Linked DNA regions of Mus musculus. The protein of the gene in region 1 interacts with the protein of each later gene in a pairwise test. Links are inferred from orthologs where the notes say so. Each region holds a gene or a part of one and is shown in the gene's direction. Other genes may lie near its edges.

Region 1 (8,024 bases):
CCAAGCTTCTGACCTTCAGGCTAAACTCCTCCCTAGTTACCGAGCAACAGTAAAGATAACAGCAGACCATAAGAGTGGCAACTTGGCCCCACCTCACTCTCTTGCTCTTACTCCCCTTACTCTCCCCTCTCTCTCTCCTTGTCCTCTCCTCTCCTCTCTTCTCTCCCTCTTACCCTCTCTCCCTCTTACTCTCTAGCCTTTCTTCTCTCTCTCTCCTTTTCCCCCTTCTATCCTCTTGGCCATGGTCAGTCTCTCTCTCTCTTTTACCTTCTCTCTTTCCCCCTGCCTTACTACAATAAAGCTCTAAAACCATAGACTGTCTCTGTTCATCAAGGCCTGCTGCTCTTACTCTTGCCTGCGTGGGAACCTCTCTCCCATAACCCCAGGGGCCCCGGGGGCTGCCCCTTGTCTACCCCTCGTTGAGTGGGGTCGGTGGTTTAGATGCCCACCTGGGGCTAAAAGAACCTAGTGGGGAAACCCCCACTCAATTCCCGGTGTGCACCCAAAGAATCATGAAAAGACCATCTTGATGTAAATACATGAGGTAGTTTAATGGTGGAGCTCTGGGTTGAAACATATCTCACGCAGGAGACAGTGGATTTGACTACGTGGCTGGGGTTTTTTATAGAAAAGGGTCTGGGTCTGGGGGAGGCACGGTTTCACATGATTGGTTCATTTAAACATCGGCAGACTGTACACACAGATTGAGATAACAGCAGAGCATCTGGTTATCATTTAACTCAGGTCAGAAGGGCGGGAGATAGGGAGGCGCCAGGCCAGTCCGGACATTCTTGTATGTCTTCCCTATCTTTATGGCTAGTTGGTTCCTGGGATGACTTTACAGCCTTTGTTCTTTGCTCTAGGCCCAAAAAGCCCTCCTATCTAGCAAGCCACATGAGTCATGGACCTTGAATAAACTTTCTGGCTAGGGTTTTGAAATCTTGAATTTAGTTTTCTTTCTTTCAGGGCCAAGTGGAAAGCATCTGGCTGCCCTCCTGCGTCCTCCTCCTCAGAGCATAGGAGGAACTCTGGCCAGGCATGGGCTATCCTCCCTCTCCCCTCTTTTCCCTGTCCCCCTTTTAGTTCCCACAGTGCCACACACCTTTAATCCCACCACTTGGTAGGCAGAGGCAGGCAGATCTCTGAGTTCTAGGTCAGCCTGGTTCACCAACAAGTTCCAGGCCAGTCAGGACTACATACTCAAAGAACTACACACCTCAACGCTAAAGGTAGACTGGCTTTTGTTGCTCCGGAATCATTCTCATTTTGAGAAGGTGGTGGTGGTTTGAAAAACAGTCACATATTCAAGGCAACTCTGGGGACAATGAATAGATACAAACTAGTGGTTCTGATCCAGGGATGTGTTTACCTATCAGGACGCCTTTGCCAATATCTAGAAACGTTTTCTATTGTCACAGATGGGGTGAGTGCTGCCACAACCCAGCGGGTAAAGTCCACGCTGATGAAACATCCTAGCTACAGAGAATGATCAGGTCCCAAATGTCAACAGAGAGAAAGTTGAGAAAGGCCTGTGTACACGCAGGTAGAAAGTTCCCCTAAGCCAGGGGCTTGGGAGTGGGGTCCTTCACTGCTGTGCATCATCTGTACTCTGTCCCCCAAGTATATAAGCACCCCACACTCCCTTTCATCACTAAACCCATCTTCCATATGTAATCACACTAACAAATGGCTTCTCATGCCTTCTACCTACAGCCATGACCATTCATTGCCTATTCTATCTTACCACAAGCATAACCCATGCCATAGCTTGGGCAAGAACAAAGGCTTAGGTATAACACAGATCTTGAATGGACATTTTTCTGGGCTGAAGATGCAGCTCAGTTGGTAGAGTGTTTGTCTAGCGTGCACAAAACCCTGGGTTCAATCCTCAGCACTGCACAACACTTGATAAAGCAGTGCACATCCATGATCCCATGTCTTAGGGTATGAGACGGAGGCATAAGAATCCTGAAATTAAAGGTTCAGCTGGTGAGATGGCTCAGTGGGGAGGTGCACTTGTTGATCTTCCAGAGGACCAGAGGACTTGGGTTCAATTCCCAGCACCCACATGGTGACTGATGACTGTCTCTAGCCCCAGTTCCAGAAGATCTAATGCTCTCATTTGCTTCTGCTAGGCATGCAGGTAGTTAACAGATATATATGCAGGCAGGAATCCATACACATAAAATTAAATTAAATGATTTTTAAAAAATTAAAGGCCATTGTTAGCTGCATATCAAGTTTAAGACCAATCTGAACAACACAAAATGGTATTTAAAAAAAAAATACTGGGGCTGGAGAGATGGCTCAATTGTTAAGAGCACTGACTGCTCTTCCAGAGGTCCTAAGTTCAATTCCCAGCAACCACATGGTGGCTCACAACCATCTGTAATGAGATCTGGTGCCCTCTTCTGGTGTGTCTGAAGATAGCTACAATTTATTCATATATAGAAAATAAATAAATAAATAAATAAATAAGTAAAAAATACTGAAGGGAAATTTTCTCTCTGTGTTTCAACTGCTTGAGAGCCCCTCAGAGGACAAACACCACAATTTCTCCATCTGATGTGTTCCATCGATAGTACCTGGCACTTGGTGTTAACTAAGACTACTAACCAGAAATGGGTTCAAATGCCCTTATCTCCAAACTATATTTAGGGATTGCTGATGGTGTCCTGCTTATTGCTGGCATTTAGAAGGTATCTGGTTAAAGTTATTGAACTGAAAAAAGAACCCAGAATCTTTTTTTCTTTTTCAAGATTTACTTTATTTACTATATGTAAGTACACTGTAGCTGTCTTCAGACACACCAGAAGAGGGCGTCAGATCTCATTTCAGATGGTTGTGAGCCACCATGTGGTTACTGGGATTTGAATTCAGTACCTCTGTAATAGCAGTCAATGCTCTTAACTGCTGAGCCATCTCTCCAGCCCCAGAATCATTTTTCAAGCACATCCTATATGTAAGCAGAGCAGATATTTGGTTCCTGGACAGGAAAATAAAAATCATGTGACCTACTGGGTCAAAATCTTGGGCTTCAAAATATGCTAATTTCTGGGCTGGAATGGGTGAGGCAGGTAGGTGGATTCCCTTCTAACTCTAGAACTTCTTCCAGAGGCTGGGGGCTGCTATTACACCTTGGCCTCGACTTGAGCTGGGATGAGGGGGGTCTTTACTCTTGCGCAGAGGGCTAGAGACTTCTTGGCTGTTCATTTGGACACACAGTAGTTCCATAGTTTGTAATCAGTTGGTGATAAAATATAATAGGCTCCTGAAATCTATCTCGAGGCTTCAGCCACCCATCGTTTTCCCAAATTGCCACACAGCAGACACTTTCTATGTGTTCAGTAGAGTAAAACACAGAACGCCCAAAATAAAAGCGAATGAGTCCAACAGCGTCCTCTAGTGGTGCTCGGGCACCAAGCAACCTAAAAGAAGCATCGCTGCGTTTCTGCCCATCTGCTGGACTGTACCACTCAGGGAGCGGTCCTCGGAGGACATAAAGTCTATACTGACCCCCCCCCCCCCACTCTCTTTTAGAACGGAGCACTGAACCCACAAAGGCAAAGTGACTTGGCCCAGGATTCTGAGACTTTCTTTAGAGGTGGTAGGTTCACAATTCCATTGCGGAGGTCGCAGAGAGCCCTGCCCCGGAGCTACTTTGCATCAAGAGTATCTCATCTGTGCTTTGGGCGAGTTTGCTCTCAGCGTCCGGGGAGCTGACAGAGGCTGGAGATGAATCCCATCCTGGCTTCTACGAGATGTACCCCGCAAGATGCAGGAACCAAGAGGAGCAGTGCGCTCCACCGACGTAGTCTCTGATCTGCAAGGAGCATGAGTTGCTGAGATACGAGATCGCCAAGCTGGGCACTCGACTGCAGCCTCCAGATATCCACCAAAGGGGTGGGGAGCAGGTCTTTGCAGCTAGAGTCGGTGTGGGTGGAGTGGAGCGTGGGCGGGGCTCGGGAGCTGCAGTTCAGAGAGCGGTGTCCTGCTGGAATCTGCTGGTGCCCCACGCTCCAACCCGAGATGATGGCCAGCAAGCGAGTGGCGAAAGTAAGCCTATGTAGGATGACCCTTTCCTTGTGCCCCTTCCCGCCCTGCCCTAACCTTTCCGCCCTGCCCTAACCCTCCCCTGCCCCCTTGCTCTCTGAGCTTTTTTTGTTATTTGGGTACCAGGGCTGGCTGAAACTCAGGTATCCTCACCTTTTCCCAATGGAGAAATGGGAGGAGAAAGGCGCGGTGTGTGTGTGTGTGTGTGTGTGTGTGTGTGTGTGCGCGCGCGCGCGCGCGAGAAGGAGGGAGAAAGAGAGGAGGAAGGGAGGGGGCCTGATTGAGAAGGTCTGGAAAAAAAAGTTGTCATCAGCTTCAAAAAAAGTTGTCATCAGCTGTACTGGCCACGAGAATGAACTGGTCTTTCCAAATGGTTTCCAATGTATTGGGCTTTCCAAACTGGTTTCATTTTCAATTTCTGCTGGAAATTTATTAGTGGAACTTATCTAAGGCACAGGAAGGGCTCTGTTGCTCCGCCTAGTGGATACACCCATAATTTGATACCTACATTACCCGAGGCCACAGAAGAGTGATGTTGGGCGGTGGGGTGGTGAATGGACAGACCGTGAAATAAAACGTACAGACTAGTTCCTGGATGAGAAGTAACAATTTATGCTCTGAGTAGGTTATTTGTATGCAGTCCTGCTCCAGCTACTAAACGCCTACTTTGTACTAGCCCAGTGCCAGGCAGCAGGAGCAGAAAAGGAACAGAAATCTTGTTCCGTTTGAACGTTCATTTCTATGAGACACTATTTGGTACTATCTGAAAGAATGAAAAAAGGGCAGTTTCCTTAGGAATGTCTAGACCGCTGAATGGAGCCAGGATTAGAGATCGTGGAGGAGAAATGCTCGTGAGCCAGGGCTGGTACCGCTAGGCTTTGAGTCTCCCCGAAGTGCTCCTCTAGTCTGCAGAATTGAGGGGAAGGCTTCCTCAGGAGACAGAAGGGATGGTTGCTGGCCTCATGTTTCTCTCTCTCTCTCTCTCTCTCTCTCTCTCTCTCTCTCTCTCTCTCTCTCTCTCCCTTTCTTTCTTTCTTTCTTTCTTTCTTTCTTTCTTTCTTTCTTTCTTTCTTTCTTTCTTTCTTTCTTTCCTTCTTTCTTTCCGAGACAGGGTTTCCCTGGCTGTCCTGGAACTCACTTTGTAGACCAGGCTGGCCTCGAACTCAGAAATCCGCCTGCCTCTGCCTCCCCAGTGCTGGGATTAAAGGCGTGTGCCACCCAGCTGGCCTCATCTTTCAAAAAGAAAATTCTTTTGAGATGGAGAAGTCCAGAGCAGACCCAAAACAGAACTAAACTTTGTTGGTTTTAGGCTGGTACTAAATGGGGCAAAGGGTAATTTGCTACCTCAACGCTAAAAGGTAGACTGGCTTTTGTTGCTCCGGAATTGTCAGCACCAGGCAGTTTGTTTTATTTAACTCTTAGAACAACTGTGAGATAACTGTGTCTTCCCATTTCATGGAAGAGGAAACTGAGACATCAGGGAGAGTAACGTGGCTGGCCAGTGATATTCTGCAGAAGTAATGGGGCTGGAATTTGAGCCCAGACTGATAAGAGTCTAACTCACAGGGCTTTTCCTGCCTGTTTGCCTTCACTTTCATTTCTCCTAAGTCAGGTGACTTACTAGCTGGCTTTGGGAGGAGCTGTGTGCACTGGTGTGGGTTTCAGCAATCATGGAAAGTTCGTCAGAATTCATCAAAACACAGAAAATTCAAGTGTTAAGAGAGAAAATTTCCCTTCGGTACTTTTTTTTAATACCATTTTGTGTTGTTCAGATTGGTCTTAAACTTGATATGCAGCTAACAATGGCCTTTAATTTTTAAAAAATCATTTAATTTAATTTTATGTGTATGGATGTCCTGCCTGCATATATATCTGTTAACTACCTGCATGCCTAGCAGAAGCAAATGAGAGCATTAGATCTTCTGGAACTGGGGCTAGAGACAGTCATCAGTCACCATGTGGGTGCTGGGAATTGAACCCAAGTCCTCTGGAAGATCAACAAGTGCACCTCCCCACTGAGCCATCTCACCAGCTTAATTTCAGGATTCTTATGCCTCCATCTCATTCCCTAAGACATGGGATCATGGATGTGCACTGCTTTATCAAGTGTTGTACAGTGCTGAGGATTGAACCCAGGGTTTTGTGCACGCTAGACAAACACTCTACCAACTGAGCTGCATCTTCAGCCCAGAAAAATGTCCATTCAAGATCTATGTTATACCTAAGCCTTTGTTCTTGCCCAAGCTATGGCATGGGTTATGCTTGTGGTAAGATAGAATAGGCAATGAATGGTCATGGCTGTAGGTAGAAGGCATGAGAAGCCATTTGTTAGTGTGATTACATATGGAAGATGGGTTTAGTGATGAATGGGAGTGTGGCGTGCTTATATACTTGGGGGTCAGAGTACAGATGATGCACAGCAGTGAAGGACCCCACCCCCAAGCCCCTGGCTTAGGGGAACTTTCTACCTGCATGTACACAGGCCTTTCTCAACTTTCTCTCTGTTGACATTTGGGACCAGATCATTCTCTGTAGCTAGGATGTTTCATCAGCGTGGACTTTACCCGCTGGGTTGTGGCAGCACTCACCCCATCTGTGACAATAGAAAACGTTTCTAGATATTGGCAAAGGCGTCCTGATAGGTAAACACATCCCTGGATCAGAACCACTAGTTTGTATCTATTCATTGTCCCCAGCGTTGCCTTGAATATGTGACTGTTTTTCAAACCACCACCCCCTTCTCAAAATGAGAAGAACTGGAGTCCTGTGGGTGAGGTCCCTTGGTCAGATGCACCATGGTATAATGGGGACCCTGAGTGTGCTGGGAGTGTGGTGTAGGGCACCACCTATCTTGCTCAAGGTCCTTGGTCCCATCTCCACTACTGCAATAACCAAACCAAACCAAACCAAACCAAACCCAAAACCTTTGAGTTGCTCTGCAGTGAAGAAGCCATTTAACTCAGCTTTCCCAAATGTTCTTAGCCATAAAGCCCTTTTCCTATAGTAGCTATTAGTGTTCCATGGGGACCTGCACATGCTTGTCCTGTCTGGGCTCTCTGTCTTTGCTCCCTGTTTTTCTGCCTGGTGGGCTCCTACCTACTCTTCAAGAGCCATCTCTGAGCACAGCACACAGTCTCTGTGGAGTGTTCCCACTCTCCTCCTTCCTGGTTATGTGCCATTCACACTATTCATGGCCTTGGATTCGTTCCCTCCATTACTCCAAAGGCGTTCTTGAGGCTGCACTCTGTCTTAGTCAAGGGTCAGCCAGCGATGTTCAGTAGACTGCTCTTGAGAGAACTCAGGGATCTCTGGTGATTAAGCCACATTTCTGAGAAGGTGTGTCACTTCTCGTCCCCTAGTTACCATGGGTGATGTGCAGTTTCTCACCTGGGAAGCCTGGATCACCCTAAGGTGGTGGTGATGATGGATGCGTGATGTCTCTGCCGTTCATTCTGCCAGTGCTGAAAACTCACATATTACTGAAGAGAGAGGGATGAAGTAGGACTCAGTGAGTTTTCTAGAGAAAGGGCAAGAGGACTGAGTACCTTGCCTTCAGAAAGAAGGCTCCTAGAAGAATTTACTTACCCCCGGAGTTCTTAATATTTGAGAGAATATTTGAGGCCACCCAATCCTTACACTGGGGCCTACAGGGTTGTGGTGAGGCTGAAATCAGGTCATTCATTCATCGCTCAGTACTGGGTCTCACACCAGCTAAGCGCTCCCTAAGTTGGGTCTCTGTCTTTTCTTTTTCTGCTCCTAGGATCTCCTGTTTGGGCTCGAGGTGGGGCTGCTGCGGTGGGGCTGCATTTGTGAGCACTTGGCTTACTACCCTTGCTGTGATCCCTACAGGAGCTGGAGAGTCTTTCGAAGGAGCTGCCGCCATACCTTCGCCAACTGTCTAGTGACGATGCCAATGTGCTTGTGTGGCACATGCTCCTGCTGCCAGTGAGTGTCCCTGGGGACCCGTTGGA
Region 2 (7,924 bases), on another chromosome or scaffold:
CTGGTAAGACAGCAAACTACTTAAATCTGACCTTCTAGCTAAGCCATACTGGACACTGTTTAATCCTGCAGCAAAATCCCCCACAGTATGAACTATACCTCCGAGCTCAGGCACCATATTCTCATATGTAGAATACCTTTGTTCTCTTGCTTTGACCCTCTTCACGTCAACCTTTCTCCCAAGATGTTACCTAGTTTATCACTGAAGAAGTAAGATTTTTTTTTTTTTGCCCATTTTGAGCACTCAAAGGCAAGTTGTAGTTTTTGGTTAAAGTCCATACCTTACCTATTCATAAAGGCAGTGGTGACCTGCTCTCTTGGTTCCTACCTTGAGAATGTGGCAGCGATGACCTTATGCTCTGGACAGTAGATAACAGGCTTGGACCCATCAGGAAGACTGTCAATCATGGAAATGGCCACTCCCTTGCTGCTATTATTGCCATACTTGTTGGTCTATTAAACAAACAAACAAACAAAACCAGATAAACGGAGAGGGGAGGGGAGAAACTTTAATGCTCGGATTGGAGAAAGCCCCTCACCGTTTCCTCCTTTATGTTTCAGAGGTTCACATGGACCCCCTCCGGACATGGTGTCCTGTTGCAGACTGCCAGACCGTGTGCCATATTTCAGCCGGAGACCCAGGCCAGCCAGTGTTGGTGGAGTGCCCTTCTTGCCACCTGAAATTCTGCTCATGTTGCAAGGATGCTTGGCACGAGGAGTCTTCCTGTAGAGACAGCCAGTCGGCGATGCCAGAGCATGGGTAAGGGAGGAGGTGTGTCTGGGGCTGTTCCCAGTGTTCTTTTCAAACCCAGCATAAGCTGCTGTGAGAAGAAATTAGATGACTCTTAGACATTTACTGTAGAAATGCCTCAAGAAGAACGAGTAAGGTGGCCACAGGCACCAACCAGTACAGGATGTCTGAAAGGGATTCTAGCTCTTTATCCTAAGGGCACCTTCCAGATCATGGTGAGTCCATTCCCTTGGGGTAGAGAGGCATCAAGTTCTGTAGTTCCCATATGTATGTATGTGTGTATGTGTGTATGTATGTATGTATGTACATATATACATATATATATATATATATGTGTGTGTGTGTGTGTGTGTGTATATATATATATATATATATATTTGCTAAGAAGCCATGTTCAATGTACATGGTGTAGCCCATTCTTCCTGTTTAGAAAATAAGACGGCTGTGATCTTATCCCATTAAATGGCCTGTTCATTAGAGTATGCCGACCCCACAGAGTGCACAGACATATACACCGTCTTCCCAAATGCTTAGAAAACACAGGGAGATTCTCCCCTAATGCTTTATGCTATGAGAACTTGGCACCAGGGCTGAGATCTCGTTACAGGTGGAGAAGCAATTCAACCGCCGGGTGCCGTCTTGTATGGAAGGTTTTTATGGTGGCAGCCAGGAGCAGAGCTGGAGACCTTCGCGTTGGGTCCCATACTTTGCTGGAGGCTGTTCTGCACGAGCAAGAACAAAACAATCAGTATTCCCCCGCCAGTTGGCTTACTCACCCGGTGCCCTCAGAGCATGCAGAACTGGTCTTCAGGAACAATCACGCTGCCTGGCTATGGTGCCGTGCCTGGGTATCAGACGGAGCACAGAAAAAAAAGGAGTCTGTTCCACGCGCTGCCATGCGCCGTCCCCGTCAGATTTAAGGCAGGCCCTTCCATAGTGGTTAGCCCCAAGAGCTGGTTTAAGGGGCTCAGGAAAAGGGTAATCTGAGTTCTGATACTGTTCTTGGCATCCAAGCGGGCTCACGTAAGACATTCAGCCTCTTATGAGCCTGCATCCCCACTGGGAAAAGGGCATTAAATATTTTACTATATTGACTCTGTGTGTGTGTGTGTGTGTGTGTGTGTGTGTGTGTGTGTTTGTGTGTGTGTGTGTACATGTGTAGATAGACTGTGCTGTAAGTCATATGTAGATCTCAGAGGAAAACTTGTGAGAGTTTTTGGTTGGTTTTGTTTTGCTTTGCTTTGCTTTGCTTTGCTTTGCTTTGCTTTGCTTTGCTTTGCTTTGCTTTGCTTTGCTTTGCTTTGCTTTGCTTTGCTTTGCTTTGCTTTGCTTTGCTTTGCTTTGCTTTGCTTTGTTTTTTCCTTTCTCTACCTGGGTCCCAGGGGTTGAACTCAGATCAACAGGCTTGGCAGCAAGTCCCTTTACCTGCTGAGCCATCTCACCAGCCCAGAGGAGAATATTAAATCAGAAATAATGTCTCACTATGTAAGGATATCCCCAGCACCTCATCTGACCTAGATTTGTCCACATTTTGTAAACAGGGATGCTTCTGTGTGCTGGGTGGTGATTTTGATACCCAGTCACTGGTGTATAGTGGGGTACTCTGACTCCCTCCTATCCTGACTTGAACCACTTGGCTCTGTGTCCCTTTCTGCTGTGGTCACACACGGGCCTCTTCATCAACTTGGAGGAGGTCTTTCCAGTCATTGTTGGCATCTCTTTGAGTGTTGGATCTCTAGCTAAACCCCAGCCCTTACCCTTACTTAGCCATGCCGTCGTTACCTATACTGCATCTCATTTGGATCCTGAGCTGGCGTTTTCTCACAGTCTAGCTCCCTCTATGTACTTCTTATTTAGAGGCTGTGTGATTAGGGATGAAGTATTAATTTGGCAAAGCACTAAAAGCAGCCAGCTGTAGAAAGTGTAATTATATAATTCATTAGGAGCCAAAATAAATAAATTCCTTCTTATTGGGCTTTCTGAACAACTAATAATCCATGTCTCCCACACCTTTGGAAGTGAGTTAAACATGACAAACTGAGAGATTTCCTAACTAGCCACCCAACAGCCCTGGCCATCGCGCAGGTGACCCTGACTGAACACGTCTCATCTGTTTTGTCCTAGGGCTCTCTTTGGAACGGATGCGGACGCCCCCATCAAGCAGTGCCCGGTTTGCCGCATTTACATTGAGCGCAACGAAGGCTGCGCCCAGATGATGTGCAAGAACTGCAAGCACACATTTTGCTGGTACTGTCTGCAGAACCTGGACGTGAGTTCTCCATGGAAGGGGCTTGTCATTACCTTTGCTGTGTCTGTGCCACTGTCTGAGCCAGCCGCACAGTCCTTCCCTTTAGCAATGGGGCCTCTTACTATCCTGCAAAAGGAATTTTTTTTTTTGAGATTCCCTGAGCCCAACTTGTCCTTCCTAACCTCCCTGTCCTTCTTCTCCCCTCCCTGTTTCTCTGACCTCTGCTCACTTCCTCCTCCCCTTTGTTTTTGTTGGTTTCATGGGCCTTGGACTCAATCATTGTGAGCGCTAGTCGAGCACCTTGCTGCCGAGTCACAGCCCATCCCCGTTGCTACTTCAGACACCATGAAACCTCTGTGTGTCGTCATAGCTTTCAGACATATTTTTGTCTGAAATGTTTTTGGGACATTTTTGTGCTCTAGAGGAAATTATCTCTATTGTGTAAATAGCTGTCTAAGTGTTTGCTTTATACCGTTGTAACAAATGGTCACAAACGTTCTGGCTTAAAACAGCAGAGAATTAGTGTCTATGTCGTACCTTAGCAGCCTGATGTGATATATATATATAACTGGATCATGATCCTGACAGGGCTGGAGTGCTGCTGTCTGAAGATGCTGGATGAGAATCCATGTCTTTGCTCCTCTGTCTCCTAGAGATGGGGTTGCTTGCGTAGCTAGGCTCATCACGTCTCTCTGATCTCCTCGTGGTCCTCATTCCCGCTGACCACAGGCAGGATGCATTTCCTCTCGATAAAGAACCATGAAATGAGATGGGAGCCATTGCAACCACCAAGGGTAACCTCCCCCACGTCCAGGTCCTTCACATAGTGACATATGCAGACAGTTACTGGAGACTCCGCCACGTGTGTCTCCAAGGGGGCATTCTGCCTATTGCGATCAGAAAGGCTGTTCTGGTGGCTGGCGTGACAGGGAAGCCCTGCTGCCTTGCCACTTACTACTAGATCCTGACGCCTGTCTGTTGCTTAGTCTCCTTCTCCACCCAAGAGTGTGTCTTCCCAAATTCTGCCAAAGTGAACAGTGATCTCAGCTGTGGGACGGTGGGTAACAAGGGTGTCCTCCAGTCTCAGTCTTTTAAAGTTTGAGGTGGCACAAGCTGTTTACGGATACCCCTGTCTGAAGCTATAATGTGTGTTCATATTGGTGTAAGACCTCAGTCACGCTCGTCTTCGGTAGGGTTTCTATTGCTGTGATGGAACACCACAGACATTCGGAGAGGGAGGAAAGGGTTTATTCAGCTTACTCTCCCACATCATCAGGCGAAGTCAGGGCAGGAATTCACGAGAGACAGGGATCTGGAGCCAGGAGCTGATGCAGAAGCCATGGCAGGGCGCTGCTTACTGACTGGCTTGCTCCTCATGGCTTGCTCAGCCTGCTTTCTTATAGAATGCAGGACTGCCACCCCAACGGTGGCACCATCAAGGGCCGGTCCTTCCCATGATCAATCACTAATTAAGGAAGTACCCGCACAGGCTTACCTACTGCCAGATTCTGTATAGGCATATTCTCAGATGAGGGCATTGGCTTGTGGGGCAGTGTCACCTCGGGCTTTTCCACCTGCACCCCAGTTCCTAAATAAACACCCCAGGGGCTTATTTATGTATGAATAAAGTAAGCTTGGGCTGGCAGCTTACCAACCCATTTATTCTATTCTATGTCTGCCACACGGCTAGTTACCACTCCTCAGTGTCATACATCAGACTTCCTCAGAGTCCAGGGCAAATCTTCCTGCGCCTGACTAACTAACTCCCAGAGTTCCTATCTCTTCACTGGAAACCCCACCTTCTGCTTCCCACCTTTTGCTAGCAGGCCATCAATTTTTTGTTGACAGGTGATGCTTCCACACAGCACACAAGGGAGTCTCTCTACAGGGCCGTGTTCTATGCCACATGGTATTGATGTGTTTGTAGGAAGGTTGAGAACCTGGGACAGAGAAAGGGGGATTGTTTTTCTAAAGCCCAAGCCTGAGACAGCCCCAAACGGAGACTGAGTGTGCTGGGCATTGTGTTTGCGCCTGGCTTCATGTTCAGCCATGCAGTGTCAGAGGCCAAGATGGAGCCTCAGGGACTTGTCACCTTCAGTTGTCTTCTCTCTTCCGTGTGATCTCAACTTCTCTTGTACGCCTTTGCCATTTCGTTCTGTCTGTCGTGTGCTGTTTCCAGGTGGAGCCGGTCTCTTCTCAAGCTGACCAGTCGTCCTCTCCCTGATTACTCTCCCTCTTCTTCACAAGCCAAGCTTCCATTGAACCCAGTTGCCTCTCGCTGTTGATATCCGCCTTCCTCCAGTTAGCACTGGGCACTCAAGTGACCATGCGGCCATATCCTGACCGTATACTTCCCAATATCCCAAGATTTTGATATCTTGGCCAGCTGCCATTTCTCCTAGCTCCTCTGACCTCACCTTTCTGGCTGTCCCTCAGTGTCTTTTCCAGACTCCTTGTCTGTTCGTGTCTTCCCTGAACAAATCTGCTCCTCAGTCCACTTTTCTTCTACACAAGCTTATTCAGTTCTGTGATACTCGCCCCACCCCCATTTTATGTAAACTGATATTCAGGCCCCTCCTTCGAAGACCAGGTATAAGTAATGATCTGCCTCTGGGTGTGTTGTTTGGATGTCAAGTTCAGCACGTCCATCTTTACCCACAAGTCCATCTCTGGGTTATTTCTTTTCTTTCTCCTCAGTAGTTTTCCTATAATTCCTGTTCCTGCTTCCTCATTTAGTGTATTACTCTCTTTCTACCTCGTGACTGGCTTCCCCTGTCAGTCGCTGGCATTGGTCACACCAGGCTTGCTCCTGACTTATGGTTCTCCCATTCCATTGCACACCTCTGCCGGAGCTCACCGTCCCTTACCTGCCTGAGATGGTGGAGCAGGTCATTCCTTGTTCTTTTGCCCCTGTCAGGATTCCTAGAGGAAGTCACTGATAGCATCAGGCGAACTGCACACTTGATGCTCACCTCTCCACCCTACATTGTGTGATGACTGAAACTCCTCTCTTTGTTTTTCAGAATGACATATTCCTCAGGCACTATGACAAAGGGCCATGCAGGAATAAGCTCGGCCACTCGAGGGCATCGGTAATGTGGAACCGAACACAGGTAGGCTCCACCTTAAGGGAACGTGAGATTCATTGGACTTGGGATGGCTTTCCTTGCTTTCCCATGCCCTCCTGGGAGGTTCTGGGAGGAGGAGGAGGAGAGAGAGAACAATGGAGCTGTGGCCTGAAGTTAAGTCAAGAGCACAATTGTTGAGGGACAGAGGCACCAGAGAGCAGAACGTTAGGGTGACCAGCCAAAGAACATACCCCTGTTCTTTGCTCTTGCAAAACATGGGAGGAGTTTCCTACAAGCAGTTAGAGCATATTAAGCATCAAAGCAGAGTCTCCAATGCTGTGGGCTCCTGCAGGGCCTCAGATCCCTCAGTACATGCCATTGTGTGTTTATGTGGCAGGTTCAAAGAGAATCGTGGTTTGTTTTTTAATAGTGTTTTGTGTTTATCAAAGGCTACGCTTCCTTTGAAGAAACCAATGCTCACATCCTAACGATGATCATTATTAATGCCCCTGTGAGACTGTTGAGGAAGCCCCAATAGAGAACGAGCCAACAGCCACAGCTCAGAGTTTAGAGTTTATGGTTCAGCTTGTGTTAACATTTGGTTTGCTCTCACCCTCGATGTAGTCCTTTGTAGTTTGTGTCCAGCGATGTCATTGCTAAAATTGCCTGAGACAGTATCCTAGCCATTCACCTAACAGATTATCATAGCCTGGGTGACTGAAACAGCTGAGATGATTCATCCTTGTCCTGGCTGCTGGCAGTCTGAGGACCAGGTATCAGCGTGGGCAGGGTCTGCGAATGGGTCCTTGTGTTGGTTGCTTGTCTCAGGACTTAGAGAAGCAGGGGCATAATTTGGCTCATGGTTTGAAGGGATACAGTCTGTCCTGACCGCGAGGGCATGGCAGAGTTCATGGTGGTAGGAACTTGAGGTCGGGACTCCTCATGTCTCAGCAGAACAGGAGTCAGGGAGAGAGGATAGGATAGCATTGGTCTGCCTTTCTTCTTTTTAAAATTTTGTTATTCAGTCAGTCCAATGCCCAGCTTATGGAACATCATCACGAGTCTTCCCTCCCCAGTTAGCCCTGCCTGGAAATGTCCCCCTCCACGCAGAGGTGTGCCTCTTAGATGACTCTGAATCCAGAACAGTTGGCCGTGAAGGTTACACTCACAGCATTCTTCCCAGTTCATAGATGACAGCTTTCTCACCGTGTTCTCCCATGCTAGAAAGCTAAGAATGGAGGCAAGCTCTTGGGCTCCCAAGTGTCACCAGGGTCTCACAGTGTCACCCAGGGCTCCCCACTCCAAGTGCCATCGCACTGAGTATTAGGGTTTCGACAGGCATGGCAGGGTGGGCACAGCATCCAGACTGTAGAGGCTGTTGTTACACTTGGGGGAATGTATACATCTCAGATGACATACCTGCTGACATAGGGTTTTCTCTTCAATTTCCAGGTAGTGGGGATCCTTGTGGGATTAGGTGTCATTGCCTTGGTGACCTCACCCTTGCTGCTCCTGGCCTCTCCCTGTATAATCTGCTGTGTCTGCAAGTCCTGTCGCGGCAAGAAGAAAAAGCATGATCCATCCACAACCTAAAGTCACCTGCGCAGACATCCGGGTCACATGAGACAGCACATTGGTAAAAGCCCCACTTAGCAGCCTTGCCTCCTTCTCCTTGCCAAACTTTGGAAGTGCCTCTGCCCAGACTTTGAACCTACCTGAAAGCATTCGGTGTTGGAAAAGGCCACGCACCGGGGCATGAGTGTGCCTGTGTATCAAGAAGCAGCCCCACAGTCCGGACTGTGTCTGTGGAGCAGGTTGGGAACTTTGCTTTAGCCTGGGAGACTCTAAAACATCACCA

What was found.
Region 2: the proteins of Ube2l6 (region 1) and Rnf144b interact in binary tests that used the Homo sapiens proteins (3 or more experiments, as listed by UniProt). The link is inferred for Mus musculus from reciprocal best matches to the Homo sapiens genes UBE2L6 and RNF144B.

What each region holds. Positions count from the first base shown.
Region 1 is NC_000068.7:84,794,877-84,802,900, forward strand, and holds the start of Ube2l6 (ubiquitin/ISG15-conjugating enzyme E2 L6), read left to right. Parts: upstream 1-3,951; 5' UTR 3,952-4,029; coding exon 4,030-4,056; intron 4,057-7,902; coding exon 7,903-7,998; intron 7,999-8,024. UniProt on the Homo sapiens protein: Catalyzes the covalent attachment of ubiquitin or ISG15 to other proteins. Functions in the E6/E6-AP-induced ubiquitination of p53/TP53. Promotes ubiquitination and subsequent proteasomal degradation of FLT3.
Region 2 is NC_000079.6:47,236,843-47,244,766, forward strand, and holds part of Rnf144b (E3 ubiquitin-protein ligase RNF144B), read left to right. Parts: exon of another isoform or gene 1-452; intron 453-538; exon of another isoform or gene 539-560; coding exon 561-759; intron 760-2,874; coding exon 2,875-3,019; intron 3,020-6,021; coding exon 6,022-6,111; intron 6,112-7,518; coding exon 7,519-7,659; 3' UTR 7,660-7,924.